Canis lupus familiaris: one gene and its partners. The protein of the gene in region 1 purifies or fractionates together with the protein of each later gene. This does not show direct contact. Links are inferred from orthologs where the notes say so. Each region holds a gene or a part of one and is shown on either strand. Other genes may lie near its edges.

Region 1 (5,528 bases):
TCAGGACTTGCTCATCAGCTTTGAGCTAGAAGGCCTCCTGCCGCTCAGCCAGGACCAGACTCAGCTCAAGGAGGGTTGGCCCCACCGTGCAGAACTGGTACATCTGAGATTTGAACTCACTCCATGGGCATGCCGAAATGCCATCAGCAAGGGGTACAGCCAGAGGGAGGGGACACGGAGGAGTGTAAGTCAGTGGAGAGAAAGGCCAGGAACACATTTGACCCAGGAGCAGGAAGTTGCCCATGGAAATAATTAATGGTGATGGTAATGGACTACAGAAGGTTTCTAGGCCACAATGATGATTCTCAGTTAATCCCACAAGTTTCTGAAACAGATTAAAATGCTGACTAAAAATGTAGCAGATCCAAACTATTTCATAAATTAAAGTAAAACTACTGTTTTAAGTAAGTCCAGTCTTTGGAGGCTTCATTTTTGGTACAAATGAATGATCCTCATCCTGTCTCATCAAGCCTGCTGCTGGTGAGTTTTCAAGGGGAGAGGTGAGTTCACTGTCATGAGAGTGTGAAAATGAACTTTCCTCAAAGGCATTCTCTTTACCCCAAGGACCGCTCTGCTGCCCATCAATCACCACAGACCATGATCCTAATGTTTTTATAACTACACTGAATGTATGTGTTTTAACAAAACCTCACCTCTTCATACAAATTAAGTTGAAAGCAAAAGCAATCATAAAATACCTTGAAAAAGAATAATTTTCTTTCTTGCCTCTCTGTCACATTCTTAATTTATATGCCTTGCTCTCCTCCCTCCTTCTTCCCCAGGGCCAACAGAGTACCCGGCACAGCCAGCCACTGTGTGCTGGAAAGTTCTAAACAAAATGCCTTTTAACAAATAAGGATAGGTGCTATGCTTCCACTATTGTTTAAAAGTTTTTTTTTTTTAATTTTTTTTTTAATTTTTATTTTTTTTATGATAGTCACAGAGAGAGAGAGAGAGAGAGGCAGAGACACAGGCAGAGGGAGAAGCAGGCTCCATGCACCGGGAGCCTGACGTGGGATTCGATCCCGGGTCTCCAGGATCGCGCCCTGGGCCAAAGGCAGGCGCTAAACCACTGCGCCACCCAGTGATCCCTATTGTTTAAGTTAAACGGACACTTCTAGGTGCTTAAAACTTTGTTCCTTCGTTGTTTCCAGTATTCCTGCTATCTTCTCTATAAATCTACTGCCTGGTAACGTAGTGTTGGAAGGAATGTCTTAAGTAAAGCTGATGGTCTAATTCTGTCTGTTTCCAGATCATCACCACCGAATTTACCGAAATGACAATCGTGATGTTGTGCAGGAACCCGAAACTCCATATCCATGGATCTATCCTGACTGGGAGTAAAGATCTATCCCGACTGTGGCCTCTCTGGTCGTGTACCTTCAGTCTGGCCTCCACGGATGCCTTCTTCCGGGCCTCTCTTCTGCGGTACTGCTCCACTTTGTCCAGCTGGTCCGGGCGCTGAAGCATCCCAGCAACCCTCTGGACAGCTGTTGCTACAGCCTCCCGGTCTGTCTCCTTCATGGTTAGAGAGCAGGTGGGGTGTCTGCACCAGTCATACTAGAGGAGTCCTGTGTGCACAGGGAGAGAAGGGAGCAGGAGGGGAAGACAAGTTAGGACGGGACAAAACTCATTCCCTGTAATGGTCAGCTGTTCACAGACACTAAAGGAGAACTTCTGACAGCACTACTCCAGCAAAGCTGAACTCCTTAATACACCTTCAGGGCGTGATCTGGAGACAGCTGTACCTTTGAGCAGAGGCACGTACAGTTAAAGCTATGAACAAACAGAGGATGTGTTGATGTGGCCTGCAGACCCCTCACCCTATCAGAGGTCCATCTCCAAGGTACTTCTCTCCCGTGGACACAGCCAATTTCTGGAGCCTTCACAGCAGCTGTTGGCCACACCGGTGAGGCAGCAGAGCCGGGAGGCCGCAGTGAGGAACTGAGGCACAGGACCAGCAGATGCCTCAAAGCCTCACCCACCCTCAGCTCAAGTCCCAGCACCTGCCCTAGGGTTCCCCTCAAAAACCACTACTGGGGCACCTGGGTGGCTCAGTCCATGAAACACCTGACTCCTGATTCTGCCTCAGGTCACCATCTCACCGTCCTGAAATGGAGCCCCAGGTCAGGGCTCTATGCTCCGCAGGGAGTCGCCCTCAGATTCTCTCTCTCCGTCCCTCTGCCCTCCCCCACCTGCATGCGTGTTTGCTGGTGGGCACACTCTCTCAAATAAATAAATCTTTAAAAATGTTTAATAATGTTTTTAAAAACCATCACTGTTTGTAATATCTGAAACTCCACTGGTACATTTAGGAGGCGTGACAAACAAGACAAGAGGGCAGAGCACAGGTGCAGAGCGCACAGGCTTGACCCCGAAGCCAACCTACCATCCACCCCAGCGGCTGCGGGTGCCGGTGCCCATGCCCAAGGGGCCAAGGACAGGGTCTGGTAAACACGCGGCCCCCTGAGCCCCACACCTTACAGGCCCTCGGCACCCATGCTTTCTGTACACAACTTCTTACAATGATGAGAACCACCCCTCTTCTCCCTGGTCCTACCCCCAGCCCCGGTGCTCTCAGCAGAACCCTGAAGGCGCGGCAGGTTCCCAGCGCCTTCCGCACGCAGGTGGCCCTCCCGCCGCTTCCACACGAAAGCCAGCGGGGCAGGAACACGCGGAGGGCAGGGGCGACGGCCGACCGACACCCAGGAGGCCGGCGAGGCCACCGCAGGTACCTCTGCACCTGCTCGGGTCCTCGCCGGCAGCGACTGCACGGCCGCTCCCCTGCACCCCGCCCTCACGCCCCCGCGGCGCCCGCCCAACCACCCGCCACCGGCCCCGACCCGGGGACCTAGCCTCCCCCGCGCCTCCGCCGCCCCGCGTCCTCCTCACCCCCGCGGCGCTCCACGGGCGGAGATCCCGGGTCCGCGGCGAACTCGCCCAGCCGGGGGCGGGGCTCCGAGGGGCAGGGCCCGGGGCACCGCGACGCCGACGCCTCCGCCTCCGCGCGGCCTTCCGGGCCGCGAGCTCCGGGGACGACAGCGCAGCGCGGACGTGCTCGGGAGCTGCCGCCCCGCTGCCCGCTTCCCAGGCCCCAGACCCCGGCGCCCACCGCCCGAGCCGCCCGCCGCCGCGGCCACCCGCGACCACTCACCGCAGCCGCCGCCCGCCGCCGCCCGCCGGAAGTGAGCGAGCGGGCACTTCCGCTTCCGGTCACGCGCCGCAGGGGCGGGGCCTGGGCTCTCTGAGAGGCTGCTGGAGGCGCGCTGGGCTGGGGGCTCGCTCCCTGCACGCTCCCGGGGACCGAGACCTCAGGACGGGGTCCCCGCTCCCTGGACTCTCCCCGGGGACCGAGACCCTCAGGACGGGGTCCCCGCTCCCTGGACTCCCCCGGGGCATCATGACCCTCAGGACGGGGTCCCCGCTCCCTGGACTCTCCCCGGGGGACCATGACCCTCAGGACGGGGTCCCCGCTCCCTGGACTCTCCCCGGGGGACCGAGACCCTCAGGACGGGGTCCCCACTCCCTGGACTCCCCCGGGGCACCATGACCCTCAGGACGGGGTCCCCGCTCCCTGGACTCTCCCCGGGGGACCGAGACCCTCAGGACGGGGTCCCCGCTCCCTGGACTCTCCCCGGGGCCTGAGATCCTCAGGACGGGGTCCCGGCTCCCTGGACTCCCCCGGGGGACCGAGACCCTCAGGACGGGGTCCCCGCTCCCTGGACTCTCCCCGGGGACCGAGACCCTCAGGACGGGGTCCCCGCTCCCTGCACGCTCCCTGGGGGACCGAGACCCTCAGGACGGGGTCCCCACTCCCTGCACGCTCCCCGGGGACCGAGAGACCCTCAGGACGGGGTCCCCGCTCCCTGGACTCTCCCCGGGGGACCGAGACCCTCAGGACAGGTCCCCGCTCCCTGGACTCTCCCCGGGGGACCGAGACCCTCAGGATAGGTCCCCGCTCCCTGGACTCTCTCCGGGGACCGAGACCCTCAGGACGGGGTCCCCGCTCCCTGGACTCTCCCCGGGGCACCGAGACCCTCAGGACGGGGTCCCCGCTCCCTGGACTCTCCCCGGGGCCTGAGATCCTCAGGACGGGGTCCCGGCTCCCTGGACTCCCCCGGGGGACCGAGACCCTCAGGACGGGGTCCCCGCTCCCTGGACTCCCCCGGGGGACCGAGACCCTCAGGACGGGGTCCCCGCTCCCTGGACTCTCCCCGGGGCCTGAGATCCTCAGGACGGGGTCCCAGCTCCCTGGACTCCCCCGGGGGACCGAGACCCTCAGGACGGGGTCCCCGCTCCCTGGACTCTCCCCGGGGACCGAGACCCTCAGGACGGGGTCCCCGCTCCCTGCATGCTCCCCGGGGGACCGAGACCCTCAGGACGGGGTCCCCGCTCCCTGCACGCTCCCTGGGGGACCGAGACCCTCAGGACGGGGTCCCCACTCCCTGCACGCTCCCCGGGGACCGAGAGACCCTCAGGACGGGGTCCCGGCTCCCTGGACTCCCCCGGGGGACCGAGACCCTCAGGACAGGTCCCCGTTCCCTGCATGCTCCCCGGGGGACCGAGACCCTCAGGACGGGGTCCCCGCTCCCTGCACGCTCCCTGGGGGACCGAGACCCTCAGGACGGGGTCCCCGCTCCCTGGACTCTCCCCGGGGGACCGAGACCCTCAGGACAGGTCCCCGCTCCCTGGACTCTCCCCGGGGGACCGAGACCCTCAGGATAGGTCCCCGCTCCCTGGACTCTCTCCGGGGGACCGAGACCCTCAGGACGGGGTCCCTGCTCCTTGCACGCTACGCTCCCCGGGGACCGAGACCCTCAGGACAGGTCCCAGCTCCCTGGACTCTCCCCGGGGGACCGAGACCCTCAGGACAGGTCCCCGCTCCCTGGACTCCCCCGGGGGACCGAGACCCTCAGGACGGGGTCCCCGCTCCCTGGACTCTCCCCGGGGACCGAGACCCTCAGGACGGGGTCCCCGCTCCCTGCACGCTCCCCGGGGGACCGAGACCCTCAGGACGGGGTCCCCGCTCCCTGCACGCTCCCCGGGGACCGAGAGACCCTCAGGACGGGGTCCCCGCTCCCTGGACTCTCCCCGGGGGACCGAGACCCTCAGGACGGGGTCCCCGCTCCTTGCACGCTCCCCGGGGACCGAGACCCTCAGGACGGGGTCCCCGCTCCCTGGACTCCCCCGGGGGACCATGACCCTCAGGACGGGGTCCCCGCTCCCTGGACTCTCCCCGGGGGACCGAGACCCTCAGGACGGGGTCCCCGCTCCCTGGACTCTCCCCAGGGGACCGTGACCCTCAGGATGGGGTCCCCACTGAAGACTCTCTGGCACTCAGACTCCACCCCAGCCTGTTGTGGTGAGAAGCACCATTTGCCTCAAATCTGAGTGAGGGATGCATCGTGTGCTCAGGATGGACAGGCACCTCCTGGAATCAGCCACATTCACACACAGGAGGGACTCAAGCAGGCAGGACCCGGAGTAGCAGGGAGGAAGGTGCAGTGCCCTGCGGTGTGGATGTGAGC
Region 2 (5,377 bases), on another chromosome or scaffold:
GGGAACTTCAGAAACCCTAAGCCACTCTTGGAAGGTATTTTCAGTTTTACATAATTTCCAGTCTTAATACCACTATTTTAATTCAGATAAAAGACATGACCTTTGGAAGTCCTTGGCATCAAATGGCACGTTTGGACAAGAATCACAACTGGAAGCTAGAGGAAAAAATGGATCTTAGCATAATTTCTCTCAAAGTATGAGGAATCTTAATATAATCAATGCACAATAGAAGCAGTCGTTCAGAAATCTTGGGAAGCTCAAATTTCTTTAGCTCTTTTCGTTTTACTAAACAATCCGAAGCATTATATTTACTTTTAAGAACAAAGGATAATACAAAATAAAACGAGAAAAAGGCAGCACGTAGCATTTTAGTGGGAGTCACCAAAAGTTCTTTTTCTCCCTTGGCCTTGGGTACATTATCTCACCTTTATCTTCACTTTGCTTAAAAAAACAAAAATCTCTGCTCAAAGCAGTCGTACTGAGAACAATAGCGGTTTGTATATTTTTCCTAATTTCCCATGCACCCAGATGCTGACATCTAAACAAATATTTCAGTGAAAACTTTTCTCCCATTTGCATGAAGTCTGAGCCACTATATAATTTGCAATGGAAAGTGGGGGAAAGCAGCTAAAAATCACGGGAGGCTGCCAGTTTCCTCAGTCTCTTTCTCTCTTTTTAAAATCATTTTAATTTTTTAGTATGATAAAGACAAAAGCTGCAGCTGAAAATTCACATGGTTCAGGAATATGTTGAAAAAAAATTTACTATAGTCCTTAAGATTCAAGTAAGTGATCCCAAATCAAGTATTAGAAAGCTGCTAATTAGGTGAAAATAATGAGCCACTCAAATTACATTGGCAATGTTTGCTGAGCTGTTTTTTTTTTGAAAGCTTCCCCTTGTATTCTATAAGGATCCATGTATTTGAGTCCACAAACTAGCCACTTTCAAGAAGGTATTCTTTTGACCAAAATTTACCCTAAAATCAATTTTCTCAATTCCTTTCTTTTCCCAAAATTGTTTGATCACATTTTAAGGCGGGGGGAGTGTATGAAGCAGGTCGTTTTGCACGGCACTTGTACTCTTAAAGATACCTAACATTTTAGTGAACGGGGAAACTTCACAACATACTTAAACACCACATACTTATATTATTTTTCTGTGCTGCCTAATATATACTGTAAGAAAGTGTGTTATGACTCAAAAGGATACACTGAAATGCTATAGTGTGGCAATATATTCATTAGAGAGTTAGCATAATTTAAAAAGGAAGCATATATTTTAATAATTCCAATGTTTTGTTATTTGGGCTTAATTTGAACTCTTTTTCTTTCTTTTTTTCTTTTGATTCTGCATTTTTATTTGAGAGGGTGTCTTTTACTTTTAAGCTGTGTTCAAGACTATAAAGAGTATCCTAATGCAACTTAATATAAATATAAATAATATATAAGCAATATATACGTATACATATACACAGAGCCAAGCATCAGACCACTGATGTTGTACTTTCGGGGTTCACGCGAATAAGTCTAGATGCATTTCTCAGGTCCTGGAGTTGCTTGGCGGGTTTCCCCACACCTTCTTCAAACCTTTTCTCCACCACAGGGAGGACGGTCTCATACAGAAAGGACGCATTCTGTCTGATAAAAGCCTTTTTCTCCGGATCCTGCTCACACCGAAGGCTATAATCCACATGCTGCACAGCAACCAGGATGATTTCCACCAGGCTCTCCAAAAGCACCATGTGCAGCTCTGGGAAATACAGCTTCAGCGCTTCTTCCAAGAAGCCCATGGTCTGTTTGGTAAAGGCAACCACCGTGTAACTCAGGTTCACCCAGCAGTCATCTCCTGTGTACTGCTCAAAGTTTCTTACCCCACAACTCTTCATCTCCTCTTTGAGTTTGCCCAGGGCTTCTGGGGTCATCAAGTTCATCCTCCTCCACATCTCCTCAGAGTTGCGATGCTTAGTGGCTTCGATTATGATTTCTTTGTAACTGTGCAAGGCCCCTTGGATGTCCTTCACCAGAAGGGCATGGATGATGAAGGTGAGGTCCAGTCCGATGTCACCCAGTTGCTGACAGTGCTCCTTTGCCACTTTTACACACTCAGCCGCCGTGGAGAGGCTCTCCTTACTATCGAACACCTGCTTGCTAAAAGCATCCACAAACATGCCCATGGCTGATCTCGCCCAGACCACAAAGGCAGAGTAGCAGCCGCTGTCAGTGCCTGCAAAATCCGTCTCAAATTCCCTCGCAGTCTCAAGAAGGCTGGTAAAGAACACGTGGCAGAGCTTATGAATGTAGAGTAAAGTGGCGCCTTCGATACGAAGCTGACGTATTGCAGTATGCACAGCTGCTGCCCTGTTTCTCAAAAACAGCTCACAAGCCTTTGTGCACTGGCCAAGGCGGATGAGTTGAGAAACTGCCCTTCGAGTCGCCTTGGGACCGCCTCTCAGGGAACGATCCGGGGACAGTTCGAAAACTAGCACCTCGGTGAGCTGTCGGACCCGCTCATCCACTTTGGCCCTTAGTTCTTTAACAGGAGGTGGACTGGGCTTATCTTCTAGGTAGTGGTTCAATTTGTCCAGCAGGTCAACGGCTCCTTCAAAGTCCCTCTGCGCGATACAGACATCCAGGTCTTCGGGCAACTCCTGGATCCACTCCACTGAGAGATCCACCTTCTCCTCTTCTACCTCAGGAGTAGCTGGTTCGTCCTCTTCCTCATCCTCAAATGGGTTCCCGGCTTTGGAAGTCACCTGCGGTGGTCCGCGAGGGGCCGCTGCCTCTTCCTGCTCCCTTCGCCGCTTTTCACTGAGGGCCCTCTTGGTTTCCTCCAGCACTTCCAGCCACTCCCGTTTGATTTTAGCATTCTCCGCCTGGAAAATACGGCTCTCGGGAAACATCAACAGCTTGAACATGTCCTTCATGGGCGGGTTGTCCTTGACATTGACCACGGCCAAACCGTCCAGGGGATAGAGGGCGTTGTAGCGATACATCCCCCGCCGCTGTGGCAGCCAGGTGGCCACCAGCAAGCAGTCGTTCATGAGAAAGCCGTGCACCCGCTGCAGTTGCGCCATGTGGTCAGCCTCGTATTCCACCAGGTCCCCGTTGTACACCAGGTACTGCCCCGGCGTCTCCAGCAGGTGCCTGCAGCCTTCCACCTTCTCAAGCAAGGTGGTGAGGGTGCGCTGCTTCCCTTCCTCGCCCGGACCCGAACTGTCGCGGGAGGCGCCCCCGGGAGCGGGAAAAAAGCCAGCCTGGCCCCGCAGGTGGTCTCGGCCCCCCGCGCCGCCGCCTCCCTCCTCCCCGCCCGAGGCCGCGGCAGCCCCGGCGGCGGCGGCGGCGGCGGCCGGCAGCAGGGTGAGCGGGATGCTCTCCAGGCTGCTCTTCTGCTCGGTCAGCAGGTGGCTGAGCTGATACATCTCGCTCTCCAGGTAGGAGATCTCGCGGGCCGTCTCTATGAACTGCCGGTAGTTCTGGTAGACGTTGCGCTTCAGGTTCTGCGCCGTCTCCTCCGCCAGCGCCTGGATGCGCTGCCGGTGCTCCTGCAAGTCCCGGTCGCCGTCCGACTGCTGCGAGAGCTGCTTCACGTACAGCCGCGCCTCGAAGCCCCCCGACTCCAGCTGCCGCCGCAGGCGGCTCGCCCCACTGTCCGACATCGCCATCGCCATTTCCGTCCGAGGCTCACGAAGCCACTGTCACTACCGCCGCCGCCGGTGCCGCCGCTGTCGAGACCCACCCAAGCCCCGCCGAGCTCCGGGGCTGAGGAAGCAGGATGGAAGAGAGACGAGTACGCCTGCGCCCGAGCCTGAGCTTCGGGCACCGCGCCTGCGCAGGGGGCCGGGCGCAGGCAGCGCGCATGCGCAGGGGCGCCCGCGGCCTAGAGCCCATGCGCCGGAGGCGCTATTGCGGAAGAGAGTGGAGGGCGAGGCGGCGAGACGCGGTACTGCGCATGGGCCGGGCGTGACGTTTGTGTTTGAAGTGAGCGGCGGAGCGTAAAGGCGGTAGCCAGTCTCCTGACGCCTTCCTAGAGTCCAGGCCCTGGGAGCCCCCGTTTTGAGCCCACTAGGAGGTATCCTGCAGAGTTCTCTTTTTTAAGCCCCAGAATCTTGGCCTCGGCGTTTGGGGCAAACTCAGTTCTCGTTCTAGAGCCAGTTATTCCTGAGTTCTCGCGAGATCGGCGGGCCGGCCCGAGAGCCGCCCGAGAGCCGGTACTTCTTAGGAGCTCGACCAGGCTCTCGGAGCCTGGGATCCGTGGAGCCTGCTTAACGCCTTCGGACGCCGCCTGGGATCCCGGCAGAGATGGACGAGGATCTGGTGTTGGCACTGCGGCTTCAGGAGGAGTGGAACTTGCAGGGATCGGAGCGCGACCGGGCCCAGGCGCCCCTGTCGCTGGTGGACGCGTCCTGGGAGCTGGTGGACCCAACCCCGGACTTGCAGGCCCTGTTTGTGCAGTTCAACGATCGGTTCTTCTGGGGCCAGCTGGAGGCCGTCGAGGTGAAGTGGAGCCTGCGAATGACCCTGTGAGTCCCGAGCCCCGCTGGGGAAGCGAGAGCGGCTGGCAGCTCCTCTGCAGCCCCCGGTCCCGGGGGGCGTGAAACCTGGGGGTCTCGTGGTGGACACCAGCAGCTCCTCTCGCTGTCCCTCTCCCTCCCCTAGTCTCCCTCCCTCTCCAACAACTTTAAGAAAGCTAGCTGTGTGGCCCATTCCGGTAGCCGATTGATTTGTAAAGGACACCGGGAGAGAAAAGGATGTCTTTGGATCTCCCCTCACTTGAAAATAAATTAACACGTTTCTGACCCAGGAGGGAGAAGCACCCAGAGTCAGCCCCTAAGAAAGAATGCCGAGGAGGCAGCGAAGCCTCCCAGAGATGTGTGTTGTCCTCTTCTGTGCCCTTTGAGATGTCACCACTTGGTAGTGAGCTCAGGTGTTAGGAGGGGGACGGGGCTGACGTTTCCGTATTTCTGGACCGAAAGGATCTTCGGGGATGCCTCTAAAAGGATGTTCACTAAAGTAGAGAATTCCTGATTTGAAGTAATCTGTTCCGGCTCATGAACGGAGTTAACAGCTTTAATATGGTTGTACACCACGGTGCTTGTCTTTGAAGTAATACAAAACAGCCTAAACTAAGACAGATTAAGATAGGACATAAAACTGGTTAAAAGGACAAATCTCCTTCGTAAAGGCTTCTCTTACGCTTTCGGAGATGCGCCGATGGAGATCTGGCTGTTAACTACCACAAACTGATTATAGTTTGAAGGGAGGAGACTGGGAGCCGCAGAACAGGATTGTCTTTGGCCTCTTGCAACCTGGCTAGGGCAAGGGATGCAGTTCTCTTCACACCTCTCTCTCACTGGGGTGATCTGAAGATATCTCCTAAC
Region 3 (4,895 bases), on another chromosome or scaffold:
TCTCCCTTGGTTTGCAAGTCGGGTAGGCTACGGGTGGTTGGGGTGGGAAATGAAAAAGGAAGCACTGCCCTCCCTAGAAGCAACTCAGTAGCTGACAAACATAGTGAAGAATTCTGTTTGATGAGTTTCTCCTCCCACTAATCCAAGCTGGAAATGCCTGTGTGGCTTATTTGTCATTGTTTGGGGATGCACAATTATACTCTTGTCTATAGCCACGGGAGCACCTGCCTAGAGAGTTTTAAAGTGAAGGTTCCTCTGACTGACCTCACAGCAAAGCCCTTGCACTAATGTCAGGAGCCCATCTGGGACAGTGGACACAGCCTCCAAGCTACAGTCCAGACTCCCCCGGCAAGCTCCAGAATGTGTGGGATCGGTTTACAGATGGGGCCAAAAGATAGCTATGGGGATCTCGAGAGAGGATGGAAAGGCTTGGGCTTCCGTAAGAGCTTCATATCTAGCATATGACTTAGTAAGGGAGAGTTGGGCCACTAGTGACAAACTACTAGCCATGGTTGGCCCCGTCTACTTCATGGTGACAGTGGCCCCATCCCCACAGGCATCCTGTCTAGCAGCAGCTGCCCCTACAGCACAGAGGCTGATAATATTCTTTTAAAGATGGCGGCCAGAAGGCTGGTTTTAAGATACAAGCCTTGGTTTAAGATACAAGATGTTTACTTGGAACACTCCCAAGTAATCTTCAGGTTTTACCTCGGGGTAAAGCAAGGGCCATTTTCAGGCTTCTGGAATCTGACTTATCCCAATGACACTACTGAAGGAGGCCAAGTCTGAGACTCTCTGTGAAGAGCTCCAGAAATAACTGTTGATCTGTGCTCTGAACCAAGTGCCCTGACCCTGAAAAGAAGACAACGAGATGAACAGGGAAGGGACCAAGGCTCTGATTCCATTCACACTGGCTTTCAAGAGCCAATAAAACTCCTCCTAGTGTGGCGCAACCTGCAGTTAGTCATGGAGTCCAATTATTACCACTGTATACTCAGCTCTGTCTTGTCCCAGAACAATTAGCAGTAAAAGCACCAGGTCAGATCTGGGCTAAACAAACTGCCAAGCTTGGGAGATTGGAGTGAAGGTGTCCTCTGGCCACATGCCATGCTTGTTCCACAGCCAGTGAAAGTTGGTGGACTGAAGAGGCAAGAACCTCCAGAACTGTGTGCTGCTCTTTCATACCCTAAGCAGTGATGTTTTCCGGGTCCCCTCCTTGTATCAGGAAGAGCCAACCTCACCTATGTGGTGAATGGGGCACCAGGGAGTGAACAGGAAATACTTTATTCTCTTTTTGCCTACTCACCTTACCTCCCAGAGCCAAGTACCCATTTCGTTTGTGTCATTCCTGAGCCCCAGACCTAGAGCCATGATGAAAGGTGGTTCACCATCCTGGGACTGGTGATACCACCATCTCTAGGCTAATACAGATAGTGCAGTGTAACTTCCCCTAAATCCCAGCCTAGCAACCTCTCACGTACTTGCTTTTCCTTGTGCCTCTTTTACTATAGGGAAAGATTATGCGAATACTGTACATATGTTATTAAAAAAATACATTTGCTCTCTTTGAAGAAGAATGCACAAATGCAGGGCAGCCAGGGCTGGGTCCTGGACTATGGGGCTGTCGTGGGTGGCCTCTGTGGGCTGGAGGCCAGCCTTCATGAGTGGTGGCTGCTGATGAGTCCCCGGAGCTGCTTGGCCACAGTGTCGATCAATTTCTGCTTGTCTCGTTCATTTTTCCGAAACTGTGCAAACATGTTGTTCTTGCGGCTGGTGTCCTTCATCCTAAACAGAGAAAGAAAGAGAGAGAGCAAAGTGTTTGAGGAGATGATGGTGGAAGAAAAACTGGCAGGAGGCAGAATGGCACAGTGCATCTTCGCCTCCACTCAGAGCTGAGAGTCTGGAATATTTCCATTGCAGGCCCGTACTTACCTTCTATTTGGAAAGCTGTCCTGCTTTCACCTTTGGAAGATAGTCAAAAGCCAGCTCTGGAGGGGCTGACCCCCTATCATCCAGACCCACCCTACCTATTTCCTTACTTTCTATCTCCAGGTATGCACCTGTTACAGGTATGTGGAGCATGCTAAAGCCCTGATGGTCAATAGGCTCTTAGAATATCTAGGATCCACTTATCATCTCATGAGCTTATGAAATCCTGCTGGGATCTTAAAGCTTGTATTTGAAAGATAAAGCAGAAAAATCCTCTCAACTAGCAATTCCAAGAGGAAATGAATAACTGAAAGCCACTGTGTCTTTCTAAACTTCAGCAGCCGGTTACTCTCTCCCATCCATAACAAAACTAAAGGCTCAACTGATCTCTTTTGTCCCAGAGTAGGGACAAAGATCCAGAGGCGGTGGCTGAGTCCATGGTGCTGAGGAGAGCAGGGGGACCGTCCGTTCACTGGAGCCAGAACTTTAGGCAAGAGAAGCCCCTGAGAACTTGAGGGCTGTCCATACCCTCAGACCTTTGACTTCTGCAGAGCTTTCTATTACCAGGTCCTGCTAAAGCTCCAGAGATGGCATATTCTTAGAGCACAAACCATGGGTAGTTCTGGCCAACGGTTGTGGCCAGATGGAAAGACAACTAGGAAGCATGGATAAAGTCAAGACCAGGCTGGGGCTTCACAGAAACACCCAAGTCTGAGTGAGCCATTGTGATAGAATGTGGGAAAGTACTAATCCCTGCAGAGTTCATAACCTCTGATATCTGCCTGTTAACTCTGGCCTCAGCCTCTGCACACTGGACCTCCAGGCCACAGCTAGTTCTGGTGTTAGAGAATTAAGAACACCACCCAGACCAACTTCTTGGGGTTGGTATAGGTAGTCTTCACCACCATCCCCCAGGAGCCTGGCTGGCTCTCTGACTTCACAGTTCCCTGAGCTGCACGGAGATAGGTCAGAAGAAGGGCTGGGGAGAAGGAACCTGTTAACCCTGGTAATCTACCTCCAGGTAAACTTCCCAGGGGCCTTCAGCTAGTCCTGGTCCATTTTTTTCCCCTATGGGGTGGCCCTTGTGCACAGGGGCAGATTTGAGGCCAATGGGTCAAAAGGCTAGAGATGCTACAAGGGCATTTATATTCAGGATATTCTGATAAGCATCAAAACTGGGTGGTTGGGGCTGACATTAACAGCCATAAATGAGTTGAGACTTTTCTCTCAGATCTAAGCTTAAGGGCTTGCAGGTTGGAATTCCTTAAGCGAACTCAGAACACTGAATATTGGGTACAACCACCCACATGTGCAGGTCTATGCTTGGAGGTGAGGAAGAAGGAGAGGTGACAGAGGTTGGTTGATAAGAAAGCACAGGATCCTCGAGGCTATGGTGATCACTGTATTTGATCCCTTGCACATTAATTGCACAATTATGTTTGTGGAACTTGCCTGGCTTTATTTATTTATTTTTAAAAATTTATTTATTTATCCCAGAGGACTCCCTTTCCTTTGCTGAATATGCTATGAATCTAAACAAAACAACATAAAACAAAAAAGAAAGAAAGGAGGAAGGAAGAAAAAGCACTCCCTTCACGTAAAGGGTGGTCGTTTTAAGGTCCTATGTGATCATTAATTTCATGACTCCTCGAAGCTGCCCAGAGACGGGGAGCCAGAACTGGCTTTCAACTCCCATAAGGCAGCTCCTGTAATAAGGTAGGAGAGAGGGAGGAAGAGGGTGCTCTCTGAGCCTCAGAGGCTAGGAGTTCTTGACCATTAAGGCCTAGAGTTGGGATTACTCAAAAGATAAACTCATGTGCCCTGATGGCTGATGGTGGTGTGCCAGTGTGTGCCTTGGAATGCTCCCAGTCCAAAGGGTAGCCCTTCTCCTCTCCCCTCCCCTCCTGGGATTCTGATCTACTTTGGCTATAGCCACCTCTCAATGATATAGGTGCCTCTTCTCTTTCCTGAATGTCTTGAGCGTGTCTTTGGGTCTTTTTACGTCTCACCCTGCCAAGAAATGCCAGGTTGAAAAGGAGAGATTGTCAAGCTCTGTGGTATATCTGGCTGTGGGGAAAGCAGGAAAGGGTCAGGTAAGAGGACTGATTCCTATGAGGCTGGGAAATAGGAATATTAGTGATCTGGGTGGCCTCTAGCCCAACTGTGTTTGGGAGGAAGCTTTTAAACTCTGATGATTGCTAGGGACAAGCACATGGCTATGTTACTTTCAGGCCTTCAGAATGCTATAGAGAGGCTGATTCTTTTAGCCTATTGTTGATCTACAGAAAGTGGATGAGGCACTCTCTCTCAGATCTAGAGATTCTTAGGAACAGACAAGTCAAGGACTGTTGAGAGAAGGAAATAGAAGGGAATCCCACAGCCTGTTTGGACACACAGTGAGTATGACGTCTAAACACCAACTGAGAGGCCTGCAATGAGGGACATTCATTTCAGCTGGGATTAGGCCTTGCCTCCAATAAAAAGTCTTCCACAGTAGACAGGGGTTCCAGATCATAACACCATGGGCTTCACCACCAGGAAGTGGGGGAGACTGCCGAGGAGCTCCCTTCTGTCAGGGCTGACATTCAAGCTTCGCACCAGCAAGGGCATAGACTGTGCCAGGAAGCTGAGTGGGAACAATCTTTTACCTGGCACCCACGGGGGGAATAATCCCTGCCACCAGCTCCAGCCCCATAGGAATTGGGAGGCCAATGGTCACTCTAAGGACCAAGGACAGAGGAGATAGCCAGCCAGTTGGCACCAGGCCAGTTTAGTAGATTAGTATGTCAGGGTGGAGACTCCTCGCAGGGTAGGGATTTAGTGCAGTCATTAGTGTCAGTGAGGAAACCAGAAGGACTCGCCTCAAAGTGGTGGAAAAGGCCCAAGTGGATAATATACTTACTCTCTAGATATCCTAGGGAGGAAGGTCATTGGGAGAGAGGATAATGGGAAACAAAGTTAAAATG
Region 4 (4,095 bases), on another chromosome or scaffold:
AGAGATCATTTGTTTCAGATGAAGCACCAAGAAGTGGGCTTAATGGTGAGAAGATGATTTCGTGGGGTTAACAAAGCTCAGAACTAGAACACGTGTTCTCTCCACCCCCTGGGTTCCAGAACAGTCTCCTGCGCGAAATCACAGAGCCTGCACCACGGTTTTCATGTCTGCGGACTGAGCAGCCAAATGCAAAGGCGGATGGACTTCAGCTACGGGGAGTGGAGGAGCAAAGACCTACAGCGCTTCCGCTACCCCAGCTGACGGGGGTAGAGCATTTCTGAGATTTGCCTGGCCTACATTTTGTCTCAGGTCAGAATCTCCTCTTTTGTGAGTAGCAAAGTTTAAACTCTGGGCAAAACCATTAACATAATGTTAATGGAATGTATATAATTTCATTATGTCACGTGTACAAATTCACTTTTTTACTACTTTGCAATATATAAAGCAAAAACAAAAACAAAAAAAACAAAAACAAAAACAAAACAAACCACCTTGCTGAGCTACTCCAAGGAAAAAAAATCATCAAGCTCTGCATTTTACTATGCTGCCCTTCTTACATTTCTCTAATATCTTTTTAAAAATCTAGGGCAATGATATAGTTTACTGAGTCAGAATAAACTTTCTTAAAATGTTTTCTGTATTAGTCACTTAAAACAAGAACAGAACTAATGTCTCAAGTGCCATAAACGCAGGGGAAAGGTTTTACCTTTTCTGCACTTGGGACACAGGCCGGGTGCAGCCAACGTAACGCATGCTGCCAGGGGCCGTCGGGTACATCCTGACGCCCAAACCGTTACCTATTCAAACAGTCCTTCGAGGTAACAGAACCTTGCTCACACATCTGAGCTGCCCTTGAAATCGGCACATAGAACTTACTTTTTATCTGCTCCGCTTGAAAGCTGAGGCAGGGCTTCTAAAGCCTGTTTAAAACTCGACCTGGAACACAGACAGGCAACATTCAAGTTGGAACATTTCATATTTCTAAGGGGGATCAAGAGCATCACTGAGAACTCTTAAGTACATCTTAAATGTAAAGGAACCTGTATAAGCCAGTGAAGCATGTAGAAAAAGTAAAAGTGAAAAACAATAGAAAAAGTAAAAGTAAAAGTGAGGGTACAAGGTATGGTTCCCAGGCGGAGGCCCTGCAGGAGCAGGGTCAGAAAACTCAACAAGGAAATGAAACACGGCTTGAAAAGCTAAAAGAGACGGATTTTGACAGCAGGGTGCTACTCACGGTAGATGAGAGCTTCATAATATGGAAATGTTCAATTTTTAAAGTCTTTTCAGAACAAAACTGAACTAGTAAAGCAACTGGTAAGAAAGGGAGGAAACGAACTAGAAATAGAGATGATCCTGTGAGAGATTACCAAATGGGGGCATTTATAGTATTAACATGTAGAGGGCCTGATTTACATTAATTAAACAGTCCACAGCATTTAGTTATTATCATATTTAAAATCTGTATGGTAAGTGGGGATTGACTGGTTGGTTTTAATTCAACATCCTTTCTTTTCATGAAAACCTAAAAAGGTGTGAATTAAAAAACCCACCGATTTGGTATGCTTAACTTTTTAAAGTAGAAACTACCAGAAAAGCTACCGAATCAAAAAAAAAAAAAAAGCACTTGAGGGGAAATCCTTTGGTAATGACTTATACTGGTCACTAAGGAATAATTTTTAACTTCTCATCTCTTCTTCTTTTATAACATTGACTAAAGGTAAAGAAATAAATGTGATTATTCTTGACTTTAAGGTGGTCTTTGATCCTGTATTGTAAAACTGGACCCTCACCAGTGCCCTAGCAAACATTGTCTTGGGCGAGGTTTCTCAAACGAGGGGCAAATATCACAGCAGCAAACAGAGAGACTACGAAGTTCCAAGAGGGTTATAAAAACTGGTCCTGGAAACTTCAGTTGTTCCTGGTTAGGGCAAGGAACAGGCTACAGCTTGTGGGCAAACTCAGCTCCCTTCCCACTATGAAGTCGACTTTCCTCTTTCCTGATGCAGAGAGGAGTCTCTGCTGTTATCACGTCATCTTAAATCTCTTCTCAATCAACAAAAAGTAATGTAATGCTATTATTCTTTATTTTTACATTATGACAGTAATGATGATGATGATGAAGACAATACCACTGATTATTTGCAGTACACCAACAGGCTAGGGGGTAACTTGGCACATTTTTTCATTTAATTACCCCAAAATTCTGCCTAGAAACTACTTATTATCTTTCTTGTGTAGATGAGGAACTCATGCTCTTAAAGGTTAAATTAAAAGGAATACCTAGGTGCCTACATGAAGCATGTACCCACATCAAATATGGACTCAGTGGAGTGCCCTCTATTATCTATTATTTAGTACTTTATGTAGAAAAATGATGACTGGGAAAAGGTGTGGCTCCATAACTAACATGGGAACCATCCAGAATGGCTCTGGTCAGCCATCAGGAACAGGAATAAGAAGCTAACTTCATTTGTTAGGAAAAACTGTTGAAAGTCTTTTTAGTTGTGATAATGACTGTACAAGTGATGGTGTAAGGCATGTCCTCAAAAGCTGGAGATGAGTAACTGTATCACACCAAGTGTCCTTAGACATTTTATTTCTATACTACTTGGATTCTCAGGCATATTAACAATATAGCCCAGTATTTCCTAGGCACGACTGCCAGTGGAGTAAACAATTTTGTATAGGCAAGTAGTCAGTAATGTTTCAGTTCACCTACTGATATTTCGATAGGAAATCCTGACTTTCATTCAAAACAGCTAAAAGTTATCATCAAATTTCCACTACAAAATTTTGTAGAGAAACCACAAGGCTTCCTCTTATGCTGATATTTACAATGCTTAAACGGTCCCTCAGAGTCTGCTATGAATAGATTAAGACTCAATTCTTATTTTTTCCTTTTCAACAGAAATATATAATGCTCTGCTATATCACTTATGAGATTAAGATTTATCTTACTGAATGAAAAACATAAAATCATATTAAACCTTTTTTTCCTTTATATTATGCTACAGAGAACCAGTATTAGGAGTCTTTGGCTTATTATGCTTTTTAGCGAAAAAAATTAATGCAATGTAAACTTTATCACATCACAATCATGAGCACTCACTCTGACCAGTTATCTTTACAAAGGATTTTATATACTAATAAGATAATCTTTATTTTTAATGAAGCATTCAGAACAAAAACATTTAGCATCTCACTTGCTTTCAGGTGTCAGGTGAACAGCCACAGTATCTCTCAAAGCACAGATTTCAAGCCGTGCCTAAGGATGAGAAAAGGAAAAAGTGAGGGGAACTGCATCAATTATTAAACTGAAACAAGCGATGAGCAGATAGTCTCAGCCTGCTTACTGCAGAGACGGTTGACAGAAGACTGCCAGCACGTGGTTCCCCACCACCTGCCACCTACTAACTATGAACAGACTTTCTACAACACTCCAAAGAAATCAGCTATGACAAACTAGTTTTTTACTAGTTTAAAATTAACTAACTCAAAATTAACTCAAAGTCAAGTATGACTCTGTGAAGGCAGGGAGTCAGATTTGTTATAAAAAGGTTCAACCTATACAGGGATTTTCCAGAAATCTGTATTCACTACCTAACCAGTAATGTTTCCTTTAGTATGATTGTGAGAGGAAGCAAAATTTGAAACATTGTCCCTGGATTATTTAAGGAAACAGACTGGCTTACTTTCTTATACCTATGCCCTTTTGGGTACACTGACTTTAATCTCAAATCTAAAACAAAGCTCTGCAGATTTAATCACCACCGGCTTTTGTTTGTTTGATGATTGTTTTTTTTTTTTTTTTTTAATAAAAATTGACAAGTTGATCCAAAAACAACTTGAAAAAGAATAACACAAATTGAGAAACACTTTCTAACATCAAAGCTCATGATAAATCTATAATCATTAATATAGTGTGGCATTGATATATGGACAGAAATACACATCATAGAACAGGACTGACTGTCCCAAAATAAACCTTACATTTATGATCAATGGATTCTGACAAGGGTGCTGAGACCATTCAATGGGGCAAGAGCAATTTCTTCAGCAAATGGTGCTGGGACAACTGGGTTTCCAAATGCAAAA
Region 5 (4,895 bases), on another chromosome or scaffold:
CCAATTCTGAGAGAAGTTCTGCTGTGGGCAAAATGTTATCAAATATCTTTGCATGCTACAGAGAAACTGTTTCTGAAAAGAAGAGTTGATTTATGGGGCAAACTTCATTATTGTCTTATTTTAAGAAATTGCCACAGCCAACCCAACCTTCAGCAACCACCTCCCCGATCAGCCAGCAGCCATTAACATGGAGTGAAGACCTTCCATCGGCAAAAAGATTATGACCCACTGAAAGCTCAAATGATGCTTAGCATTTCTTGGCAATAAAGTATTTCTAAATTCAGTTATGTACATTGTTTTTTAGACATAATGCTACTGAACACCAATAGACTACAGTATAATATAAACATAACTTTTATATGTACTGAGAGACCAAAAAATTCATCTGAATTAACTTCATTTCAATAACTCCTTGCTTTATTGTGATCCTTGCTTTATTGCAGTAGTGTGGACCAAGTGAACCTGAAGAATACTATGAGGTGTTCCACTGCATCAGTATTGTAATTGTGAGAAGTAAAAATGGATGCAGTAATAGAGGGTAGTGTAAGACTGTAGGTGCTGGAAACAGACTGGGTATGAATACTAATTCCATCACTCTTTACTGTTGACCTGGGAAAAATAACACAACCCCTCAGAATCTATCTTATGTAGGGGAGAGGAAGTTGTGAAGATCAGATGAGGTTAATATGTGCAAGGTGCTTAGAACAGTGCCTGGTATACAGTAAGCACTAATTTATGAATGCTGGTCTATGGCCATTATTAAGCTACATGAGGATTTTTCTTCAGTGCGCCATTTAAATGCACAGGATATAATTATAGCCCGAATATACTTAAACTTTAACAGGAAATATCCTAAATGAAAAAAAAAATAATCCTAAATGATGCTTGGTTGTAATTGGTACAAGAAAAAGACAATGCATTTATTTAAGAAATGAGCCATGAGTGTGCTTGGGTGGCTCAAGTCAGTTAGCCATTGGCTTCTCGGTTTTGGCTCAGGTCATGATCTCGGGGTCATAAGACTGAGTCCTGTGTTGGGCTCTGTGCTAGGCTTAGAGCCTACTTAACATTCTCTCCCTCTCTCTCTCTCCCTCTGCCCCTTCCTCTCAACTCACACACGTGTGTGTATGCTCTTTCTCTCAAAAGAAAAGCCATCAATGAACTAAATCTTATAAAAGCAAAATTTCTCTCAAGCTCAATGTATGCATTATTTGCAGCAGATTACTCGACATAGAGGTTATTCAGTGATTAAGACTACAAGTTGGATGCAAGGCACACATCACTATATTACTTATCCATCCCTTGTCCATGGCAATTTAACCAAATCATATCATTCTCAAAGGTTTAAGAGCACAAATCCATATCACTATAGTGTGAAGAATTTTGGAAAGTAAATTAAATGCAGATCATAATGTAGGGCCCAACTTGGTAGTACTTGATTTCTTACTTAATTTTTTTTTTTTAAGATTTATTTATTTCTGGAGGGTATTATGCTGAGTGAAGTAAGTCAGTCGGAGAAGGACAAACATTATATGTTCTCATTCATTTGGAGAATATAAATAATAGTGAAAGGGAATATAAGGGATGGGAGAAGAAATGTGTGGGCAATATCAGAAAGGGAGACAGAACGTAAAGACTGCTAACTCTAGGAAACGAACTAGGGGTGGTAGAAGGGGAGGAGGGCGGGGGGTGGGAGTGAATGAGTGACGGGCACTGGGGGTTATTCTGTATGTTAGTAAATTGAACACCAATAAAAAATAAATTAAAAAAAAAGATTTATTTATTTGACAGAGAAAGAGCACAAGCAGGGGGAACAGTAGGGAGAGGGAGAGGGAGAAGCAGGCTCCCTGCTGAGCAAGGAGCCCCATGTGCGGCTCCATCCCAGGACTCTGGGATCAGGACAGGATCTGAAGGCAGACTCAACGGACTGAGCCACCCAGGCACCCCTGTCACTTTCTAACTAGCTCTAGCACAATTTAGGCTAGCCTCCTTAGTCTTGTTGTGTTCTTTGAAGAACAGCAGATACTTTGAGCTTGGCCACTAGGTGAAAGAACCAAACTCAGGTGCTATCTGTTCCATTTGCTACAGCCATCTGACATTCATGCTTTTGGGTCAATACAAACAAGCCCATTCACTACCTTTTCAAGGCATGCCTTAGATCCTAGTCTTGTCCCAAATACCAAAATGTACTGAGTACACACTATTCACCAGAAGCTGTGAGAAGACAGGAGTTAAAATAGGACACAGAGAGATGTCCCTTTAGTGGCAAAAGAAAAATCCTTTAGATTTTATGAGAAAATACTGAGTTTATACCTTTGTCTAAGTTAATTTTACTTTGTTTTCCCACTGTTCTGTCTTGAATAACATGAACATTCTTTAATAAACTATTATTACTTGCCACCACGGCGGCAGCAGCACCACCATTATGAGCTATCACTAAGGCCTTACTTCTATGCAAGGCAGTGTGTGCTAATAAGCACTTTATTTGAACCCACATCTACCTCTACCTGATACTACATCCTATACTTTTAACAATTATGTTGTGTTGGATTAACAGGTATTATATAAAGTTATATTTTACTAATAAAAGCAACAAAGCCTTCATAGGCTGGAAATGTACAGTGTCTCATGATTTAGTGTTTCTACTGGGTCACATGGGACTCATTATCTTAGCCTTTGGCCACTCTTCATTCTCCCTTTGGTTCTCAGCTTGCAGTCAGATCCTCTAGGTTTAGTATCACCACAGGAGAAGGTGGGAGAGGGAAGAGGATAAGGGTCAAATTTCATAGTATTTCAAATACCAAGAGAAATCATGTGGTAAGGAGAGGACTAAGAAGGTGACATTTAGGTTTCTATAGATAACGTAGGTTGCCTTCATACTTTAAAAACTCAATAAATATTTTCCAAAAGTATAAAAATGATGTGGATTTTACCTGCCCTTAATATTTTTATCTCCTATTATTTTATGAATATTCAAGAGCTGGATATAACTTAGAAGTTACATAGTAGAAATATTCAGATGATAGACATCCACTTTTACACACTAACTAGAAGCTTTGATTTTAGAACCTGGCCCAGCCCAAATCATATCTACAAGCTTACCAAAACCTAGTGAACAAAAATAAAGTTGTTAATGATTTTTCTTTCCTATTAGAAGGAAGAACATAATGATTGCTGGAAGTTATTATAAGAAAAATGTACTCTCTATTTTTTTTAAAGAATTAAAAAAAAAAGATTTATTTATTTATTTGGGATGGTGAAGGAGGGCACTGAGCCCAGAGCTCAATGTAGGGCTCCATCTCAGGACCCTGAGATCACAAACTGAGTGGAAACCAAGAGTCAGATGCTTAACCAACTGCACCACTCAGGTGCCCCAAAGAACAATGGATGCTTAAAATAAAGCAATATAATTATTAATTAAAGCTATTAAGTGAGTAAACTAAAACAACTAATTAAGTCAATAATTTAAACAATTAAAATAATCTAATTATTAATTTTCCTATTAGAACATATTTAAAAAAGAACAACAATAAATCCAAATGATAGTTTCAATTGTTTTATGTGATTTATGATCACTAATCAGTTAACTGAGATTTCAGTCACCTAGTAGACCTCTCAAGCAGCTGCTACCTCAGTGCCACTTACTCCAGAACTTGCCAAGATTCATACACAGTGTAGAAGGGGAAATGGCTAGCACCGTAGCACCCAACTAACTCTGTTCACATAAATTGCAGCCAATACTCTACTTCAGGACTTTGAGGGATGGGAATAGTAGATCCTCCAATGAAAAACTGGAAATCTCTTGATTTAAATACATTTACCTATTTCTTGCAACGATTAGAATTCTAAGTGATTTTAAAAAAACAAACTTACAATGCATTTGTCAAAGTTCCTTTTGACAGTCACCAAAACATTTCCTAATGTCGTACTCAGAAAAGAAGCAGGGTCTACATTTTGTGCAGTCCACACATGATGACTCATCTTGACAAGCATGTAAAGGGAGTTAAAGCTATCAATTTTATCTCCTAATGCAATTAGGTTGTTCAGTTCTGGCTCAATACAGCGAAATATTTTAATCATCATTTGACGGATCATATCTTTCCTGTTCAGAAAACACACAAAGTATAGGAATTTATTACAGGTTTCTATAACTTTAATCTTTATTTTTAACTTTAATCCACAGTATATACACAAAATAACTAAAATTTTATATCTTAATTAAAAATGTCCATTCATGATGAACAATTTCATCATACAGCAGTTTCCAACATAAAAATATTTTTTGAAGTTTTATTACTCAAAATATAACTTTGTATCATGTGTAAAGCTGGATCCTGAAATGTGCTTTGTAATTTCTGAGAAATATCCTGCAATTCAAATGCTACTTCTTACCAGCAAACATTAAAATTGATTGCATTTTTGTGTGTGTGTGTGTGATCACTACAGCAAAAAAGAGCTAAAGGGTCAGACAACAGGACGAATTTCAACTCAGACCTTTAAGGCACTGGGCAGACATGTCAGTGTTCTGAGTGTTGTGAAATACCAGAATCATCTGGCTCCTCAGTGAACAGTACTCCTTCTTCCCTTCAAAATAAACAACGGATAGTAACAAATACATACTCAGATGAAACAGGCAGTGGCACACCAGCATTATGCTGCCGGGAAAATGGTCCTCCATCGAGGTCCTCTGCTTCAGTCTGCAAAAATTATTCAGGTACTTTACATAATAAAAGACCAACAATTTGACTAGTTTATATAGCAAAAGCCTGCTCAGTCTTAAAATTCCTAGGAGAGAATAGATTATGAAAAATAATGATTTTTAAAGGTAGTATTACTGATAAAACTATATAATTTAGTATGTTGTTTAAGAATGTTTATAAAATGTTTTGTTCTTAGAT
Region 6 (5,695 bases), on another chromosome or scaffold:
GGCAGAGGGAGAAGCAGGCTCCATGCACCGGGAGCCCGACATGGGATTCGATCCCGGCTCTCCAGGATCGCGCCCTGGGCCAAAGGCGGGCGCTAAGCCGCTGCGCCACCCAGGAATCCCTCCTCCTCCGTATTCATGCTCTCTCTCTCTCTCTCTCTCAAATGAATAAATGAAATCTTTTAAAAAACACATTATGGTAGGTCAAAGAAGGTGGACACAAAAGGTCACACATTACATGATACCATTCACAGGAGAAGCCCAGAATGAACAAATCTGGAGAAACAGAGTAGACCATGGACTAGCAGGGGCACGTGACTGGGAAGAAGAGCAGAGAGGAGTGGCTGCCAGTAGGTTCAGGGCTCTTGTTTGGGTGATGGAAGTGTTCTCAAATTGGTTCCAGTGACGTCGTGCAACTCCATGATTATACTAGAACCACTGAATTGCATCCTTTAAATGAGCAATTGTTATGGTATGTGAATTACATTTCAAGAAATAATTATATCTCAATAAAGGTATTTCAAACACGAGAGAGGAAGGAGTTGGACCATCTCTGCTTGAACGAGGAGGACATCCTCTTGAGACCTCTGGCTAACGTGTTCTGTCTCCACCCTAGCCCCACGCCCAAGTTCTAGGATAGCTCTTCACTCCACGATCCAAACTTAGCAATGAGCCCCAAAACAAAGTTGTCCAGTCCCTGACACCCTAATTGCAAGACAGGCCCTCCACCCATGTGCTGCAGTGCACTGATGACACTGGTGTGTCCCCATTGGTGACTGGTGTTCCAAGGTACTGATCCTGCCAATCCTCCAGGCAAGAAGAAAGAACCTTGGGTGGCCAGAAACCACTGCCTGGTTACTAGTTCACCCCAGTGTGACATACAAATGTCCTCACTTCCATCACAAACCCCGATGGGAGAAATGTTGGGAAGTACTGCTCTAAGCAAAAGCTTTCTGGGTTTGAGAAAGGCCAGGTTCCCATCTGCGTATCTCGCTTACTTCCTGTTTTGGGCAAGACATATACTTGGGGTGAGAACTGTAGTGCCAACAGGAAGGTGTGCTGGGTGACTAGGTCTGAGTTGACCCTTCCTCTACTGTTCTTCCCGCTTTGGGAGGTCTGGGGCTCCGCTCCTACCACTTTTCGGGTCTGCATTCTCCCCTTTTCCTGGTGCCTTGAGACAACCTCACTTTCTAGCCTTACCCCATTCTGCTCTGGTCACCTGCTAACTCTAATACTTAAACACAAAGTTGTAAAACAAAGAAATCAAACATGAAAACACGAATGCAGGTTCTGAGAACAATCAGATTCATAGAGATATAAAGGAGAATGATGCTTGCCAGGGGCTGGGGAAAAGGAGGAATGGGAGTTAAATGTTTAGTGGGCAAGAGTTTCATTCTGGGAAGATGGAAGGAGTTCTGGAGATGGATGGGGGTGGCAGGTGCACAACGTGAATGTACTTAATGCCACTGCTCACTTAAAAATGATTAAAATGGCAAATTTTATATTATGTTTGTACCACAACAGAAAAAAACACAAATGAATGTATAAAGCTCAAATATGAAATTTATATTGGATGTGTAATTTAGTTTAAATTATAAAAACATAATAAAAATATGTTATCTATAATTTCAAAGGCAGAAGTCTTCATGCCTGCAGTATGCATACTGCATTGCCTACAACTGTTTCTTCTACTAGGTTCTCCTTTAAGCTGGCCCTGTGTCCCTCATGAGACCAGGGCAGGGCCTGGTGTCCCCAAACCTCCCACATTCACCCACGGGCCTCTCACCACTTTGTTGAGCTCTGGGCTGTCTGGGCTATTGTCCTGGAAATACTCCACAGCCTTCTGAATCTTGGCCATGCTCCCCAGGTACTCTTCCAGCCTGCCTGTGGGGCTGTGAAGGCAAAGAGCTGCATCAGCCTGGGCAGATGGAAGATGAAGAAGAAGGACCAAGAGAATGGAATCTAGAAGGGAAGAGAATTAACACAACGGATTCTGGGCTCAAATATATTCAAAAGCCTAGCGTTGTCACTGGCCCAAGAGGTGTTGGCAATGTGACCCTCTGGCCCTAGCTCACCCCTCCCTGATGATTTTCTCAGTGTCACTGGCCACATGGTAGTAGCTGATGACATGGTCTAGGCAGGACAGAGTCTTCTCAACATTCTCCTGCAGCCGCTGCAGGTTCTCAGTCTGCTTGTGCACAGGGATGATGGAGTTCTCTAGCTTCATAAGGCGACTCTCAAAGGATGACAGGATAGACACCTGCAGGGGGACAGCCCAGTCTCAGGACTTGGGGTTGTCCCAGGACTGCTTCCACCCACCCACAAGCTCTTCGACATTTGCAGCCTTTCCTTTGGTTTCCTAGATAATAATTCGTCCATGAGGGGAGGGAGACGGTGTCCTTGTTTACCACTGTATCCCCAGCACTTACCATGTGCACAGCACAAAGGAGGTGGTCCAAGTAAAGTGGAGGAAGTTTGACTTGAAGGCAAGCCACACAGCAAATGGAACTCATTCTAAATGATCACCCAGGATAGCTTCCCTTCCACCCTTTGAAGCTAAATCTCAACTTCACTTCTCTTGGAAGCTTTCCTAGCCTGAACAAGAAGTAGTTTCATACAGAGTCGCCTCAAATGCATTGCTAGTACCTTCAAAACCCTCTCTCTCTCTCTCTCTCTCTCTCTCTCTCTCTCGGCCAATCTCATTAGATAAGGACTAAGACTTGATGATTGTATTCCTGGGCACATACCCAGTTTGCATCTACTCAATTTGAGCTTTTCCAGTCTCCTCTAGAAATAAGAAAGGAAATTCCTATTTGCTGAGCACCTGTTGTAGACCAAGTACTATGCAAGATGCACTCCCAAACATTGGCTCCTACGACCTTCACAGCCACACCGGGAGGTTGGCATCGCTGCTTCTAGTAGGTGAGTTAACCGAAGCTCAGAGTTACCTACCTGTCAGGAGCCACACACAAATACAGGGAGAGGCGAGGACCAGATCCCAGCTCTGTTTGATTTCAAAGCTCCTTCGACCCCTAAAGCCCTCTGAGGTGAAGGCTGAGTTTTCTCTGCCCTCAGTCATCACAAAATCTCAGGCCACTCCTGCCCTCTGGTCATCACCCGAGGTGAGGACGGCACACGACCAGTACCCAGCCCACCTAAGTCAGTGTCGCTAGAGGTTTGTGTTAGGAGAGAAGGAAGAATGGAGAGCCTGTGCAGAAAGCGGAAAGTCTGCACCAGCAGGGGCTGCGGCATCCTCAGTGATGGGGCAGAAAAGGCCAAGGGAGCTAGGTAAGAGACACCCCACACATTACCAGCTTCGCGACCCGGGTTCGAACCCCGGGCCTTACGCAAAAACGGCCTGTCCGCCCCTCCCACCCGAGGGGTTACTCACCATGTTTTTGGTGAGCTGGTCGCTCTTCTCCAGGCTGTCTCGGATGAAGGACAGCGTCTCCTCCTCCTGGGGGAAGCGGAGGTGAGCAGACCACAAGAAGCCCGAGGCTAAAGAACCGCGCGTCTCAGCCCCGCGGCCTCGCCCCCAACGCCGTCTCCCCACAGGGGGTGCTCCCTCCCAACCCTGCCTCCTCCCAGAGCAGATGCCCTGGCCCGGACCTTGGTCCCTTCCCTCACCTGCTCCCCAGCCTCACCTGCTTCAGCTTGTCCTCGATCTCCCGCCGCCGGGCGGACGCCTCCTGCGGGGGGATCATCGCCTCGGCCCAGCGGCTCCCACCGCCCTGTGCCTTGTCTCTCTGTGTGCCCTCTCGGCTCCCGTCCCGGCCACACCCACTTCCGCCTTTGGCCCCACCCAGTGGCGCGCTAGTCGTGCCATATTGGGAGTGGCAGGCGGAACTGGATAACGGGTCTGGGCAAGTGGCCATCTTGGGTGTGGCAAGTGCGTGTTCCCTGTATTGTCAGAGAAGGTTCGCAAGTAGCTGGACGGCTGGAGCTCACTTGCGGTCTTCGTGTGAAGACTCGCCCTTTTGACAAAGGCTGCTGGGGAAGGACACATGCTTATTTCACTAGATCGCATTTTGTGTCCAGGCGCGGATGTCGCGTTCCCCGCAGGCCGCAGCACAGAGCGTGTCACAGAGTGGGCCCCGAACACGTGGCCACTTGATGAACCAGGGGCTTGTGCTGTCGCTTCTTCCTTCGGGCCTGCATTACACAAAAGCATGAAGGGGCGTCGTGTGCAAGCCCCGAGCTGGGGGCTGGGGACAGAGTGGTGGCCCAAGGCCCTGGTGGCAACCATAACCATAAACCTGGCGTGTGTGGAGCCCAGCCAGATTCCTGGGGCTGCAGAGTCCTTGGAGCATCCATCCATCCCCGGGAGGCTTGGAGCTTGCTGTCCAAGCCTCACCCTAGGGTGTCTGTTTTGGAGAGAGCTGTATGGTTTTATTTGTTGGGAGTGAGAACCTGGCTGCTGGTGAGGTGTCTTCTGCTGGAAGCTTACCTAGATCTGGAAAAGGTGCAAGAGGAAGGCTGAAAGTTCTCAAACCTGTCTGAGGGATTGGGGCCCAGCTCGGTAACTACTGTCAGTTAAAGAGAGATGGTCGCCTGTCTACAGGGATTCAGACACACGGGGAGCATTTCTCATAGAGGCTTTGGGGCAATGAAAGGCTTGGAGGGCCAGCAAGGTCCTTTCTCCAGAATTCCAAAACATTCTAAGTCCTCTGCCCCGAGGCTACTCTAACCACAACTCCAGGGGAGATGCTCCTGGATCAAGGTTCCTGCAAAGCTGGATGTTCTGCTCTCACCACAAGACAGAGCTCCTGCAAAAACCTAAATGCCACTCCCTCTTCCATCCCTTCCCTGCCTACTCTGCCTCTGGTCCTGGTCCTTGGGGAGATAAATAGCTGTGTGGCTTTCCTCAGGTCCTCTATGTATCTGGCATCCAAGCAGAAGGGGATAGACAACAAGGCGTGACCTGGTGTGTGAGGATATTTCGGGATACTAAACCACAGTGTTCCCCCCCAGGACTCCCCACATCCAAGAGGAGGAAGAAAGGGGACCCAGAGCCTGGAGAGGGATTGGGCAGCTCTTCTGCTGGGGCAGGACAGTTTCAGATCTGGTGGGTGGCCACAAAAGTGGTATTGAAGGAAACCACCAAGAAGTGCAGCCCTGTGGCAGATGGAGGAGATAAAAAGGCAGAGTCATTGTAGAATGGCACGTGCGATGATTTCACGGAGGAGGTCCTTGTGCAGTCCTGAGAACAAAGTAAAGGGGAAAGTTTATTTTATTTTTTTAAAGATTTTATTTATTTATTTATTCATGAGACACACACAGAGAGAGAGATAGAGAGGCAGAGACACAGGCTCCATGCAGGGAGCCCTACATGGGACTCAACCCCGGCTCTCCAGGATCACACCCTGGGCCAAAGGCGGTGCTAAACCACTGAGCCACCCCGGCTGCCCAAGGGGAAAGTTTAAAACAGGTGCCACAGTACAGAATGAGGGCCCGGAGGGCTACGGTGGGAAGGACTTTGGACTTGGTAGAGCAGCCCAGAGAGCCCCCTTCAGCACCTACATCTCTGAACAGCACCAAGCCCAGGGTAGATGCTCAAAGAAAAATATTGATAATGTCTTGCTCTGTAAGTCTTAGGATCCCTGTAATCATGAACAAATACTTTGAACTCGGCACAATATCATGGCATTTTTGCAAATACAATACATATCTGTGTGCTTTTCTATATTTTCTCAAATCC

Evidence for each region.
Region 2: the proteins of EXOC3 (region 1) and EXOC8 purify together in Homo sapiens (affinity purification with mass spectrometry; 5 studies listed by BioGRID and IntAct, counting the BioPlex papers as one, with this or other methods). This does not show direct contact. The link is inferred for Canis lupus familiaris from reciprocal best matches to the Homo sapiens genes EXOC3 and EXOC8.
Region 3: the proteins of EXOC3 (region 1) and EXOC6B purify together in Homo sapiens (affinity purification with mass spectrometry; 3 studies listed by BioGRID and IntAct, counting the BioPlex papers as one, with this or other methods). This does not show direct contact. The link is inferred for Canis lupus familiaris from reciprocal best matches to the Homo sapiens genes EXOC3 and EXOC6B.
Region 4: the proteins of EXOC3 (region 1) and EXOC2 purify together in Homo sapiens (affinity purification with mass spectrometry; 6 studies listed by BioGRID and IntAct, counting the BioPlex papers as one, with this or other methods). This does not show direct contact. The link is inferred for Canis lupus familiaris from reciprocal best matches to the Homo sapiens genes EXOC3 and EXOC2.
Region 5: the proteins of EXOC3 (region 1) and EXOC1 purify together in Homo sapiens (affinity purification with mass spectrometry; 5 studies listed by BioGRID and IntAct, counting the BioPlex papers as one, with this or other methods). This does not show direct contact. The link is inferred for Canis lupus familiaris from reciprocal best matches to the Homo sapiens genes EXOC3 and EXOC1.
Region 6: the proteins of EXOC3 (region 1) and EXOC7 purify together in Homo sapiens (affinity purification with mass spectrometry; 5 studies listed by BioGRID and IntAct, counting the BioPlex papers as one, with this or other methods). This does not show direct contact. The link is inferred for Canis lupus familiaris from reciprocal best matches to the Homo sapiens genes EXOC3 and EXOC7.

Annotation. Positions count from the first base shown.
Region 1 is NC_049255.1:11,955,291-11,960,818, forward strand, and holds the start of EXOC3 (exocyst complex component 3), read right to left. Parts: upstream 3,208-5,528; 5' UTR 3,155-3,207; intron 3,020-3,154; exon of another isoform or gene 2,893-3,019; intron 1,572-2,892; 5' UTR 1,525-1,571; coding exon 1,381-1,524; intron 1-1,380. UniProt on the Homo sapiens protein: Component of the exocyst complex involved in the docking of exocytic vesicles with fusion sites on the plasma membrane.
Region 2 is NC_049225.1:8,511,165-8,516,541, reverse strand, and holds the start of EXOC8 (exocyst complex component 8), read right to left. Parts: upstream 3,816-5,377; 5' UTR 3,668-3,815; coding exon 1,484-3,667; 3' UTR 1-1,483. Other genes in the region: DNA-dependent metalloprotease SPRTN, read left to right, coding at 4,299-4,519. UniProt on the Homo sapiens protein: Component of the exocyst complex involved in the docking of exocytic vesicles with fusion sites on the plasma membrane.
Region 3 is NC_049238.1:51,118,739-51,123,633, reverse strand, and holds part of EXOC6B (exocyst complex component 6B), read right to left. Parts: intron 4,844-4,895; coding exon 4,832-4,843; intron 1,786-4,831; coding exon 1,659-1,785; 3' UTR 1-1,658. UniProt on the Homo sapiens protein: Component of the exocyst complex involved in the docking of exocytic vesicles with fusion sites on the plasma membrane.
Region 4 is NC_049256.1:2,150,448-2,154,542, forward strand, and holds part of EXOC2 (exocyst complex component 2), read right to left. Parts: intron 3,779-4,095; exon of another isoform or gene 3,266-3,778; coding exon 3,204-3,265; intron 937-3,203; coding exon 877-936; intron 310-876; exon of another isoform or gene 19-309; intron 1-18. UniProt on the Homo sapiens protein: Component of the exocyst complex involved in the docking of exocytic vesicles with fusion sites on the plasma membrane.
Region 5 is NC_049234.1:48,920,276-48,925,170, reverse strand, and holds part of EXOC1 (exocyst complex component 1), read right to left. Parts: intron 4,695-4,895; coding exon 4,618-4,694; intron 4,100-4,617; coding exon 3,871-4,099; intron 1-3,870.
Region 6 is NC_049230.1:5,416,386-5,422,080, reverse strand, and holds the start of EXOC7 (exocyst complex component 7), read right to left. Parts: upstream 3,800-5,695; 5' UTR 3,702-3,799; coding exon 3,642-3,701; intron 3,455-3,641; coding exon 3,389-3,454; intron 2,258-3,388; coding exon 2,073-2,257; intron 1,890-2,072; coding exon 1,784-1,889; intron 1-1,783. UniProt on the Homo sapiens protein: Component of the exocyst complex involved in the docking of exocytic vesicles with fusion sites on the plasma membrane.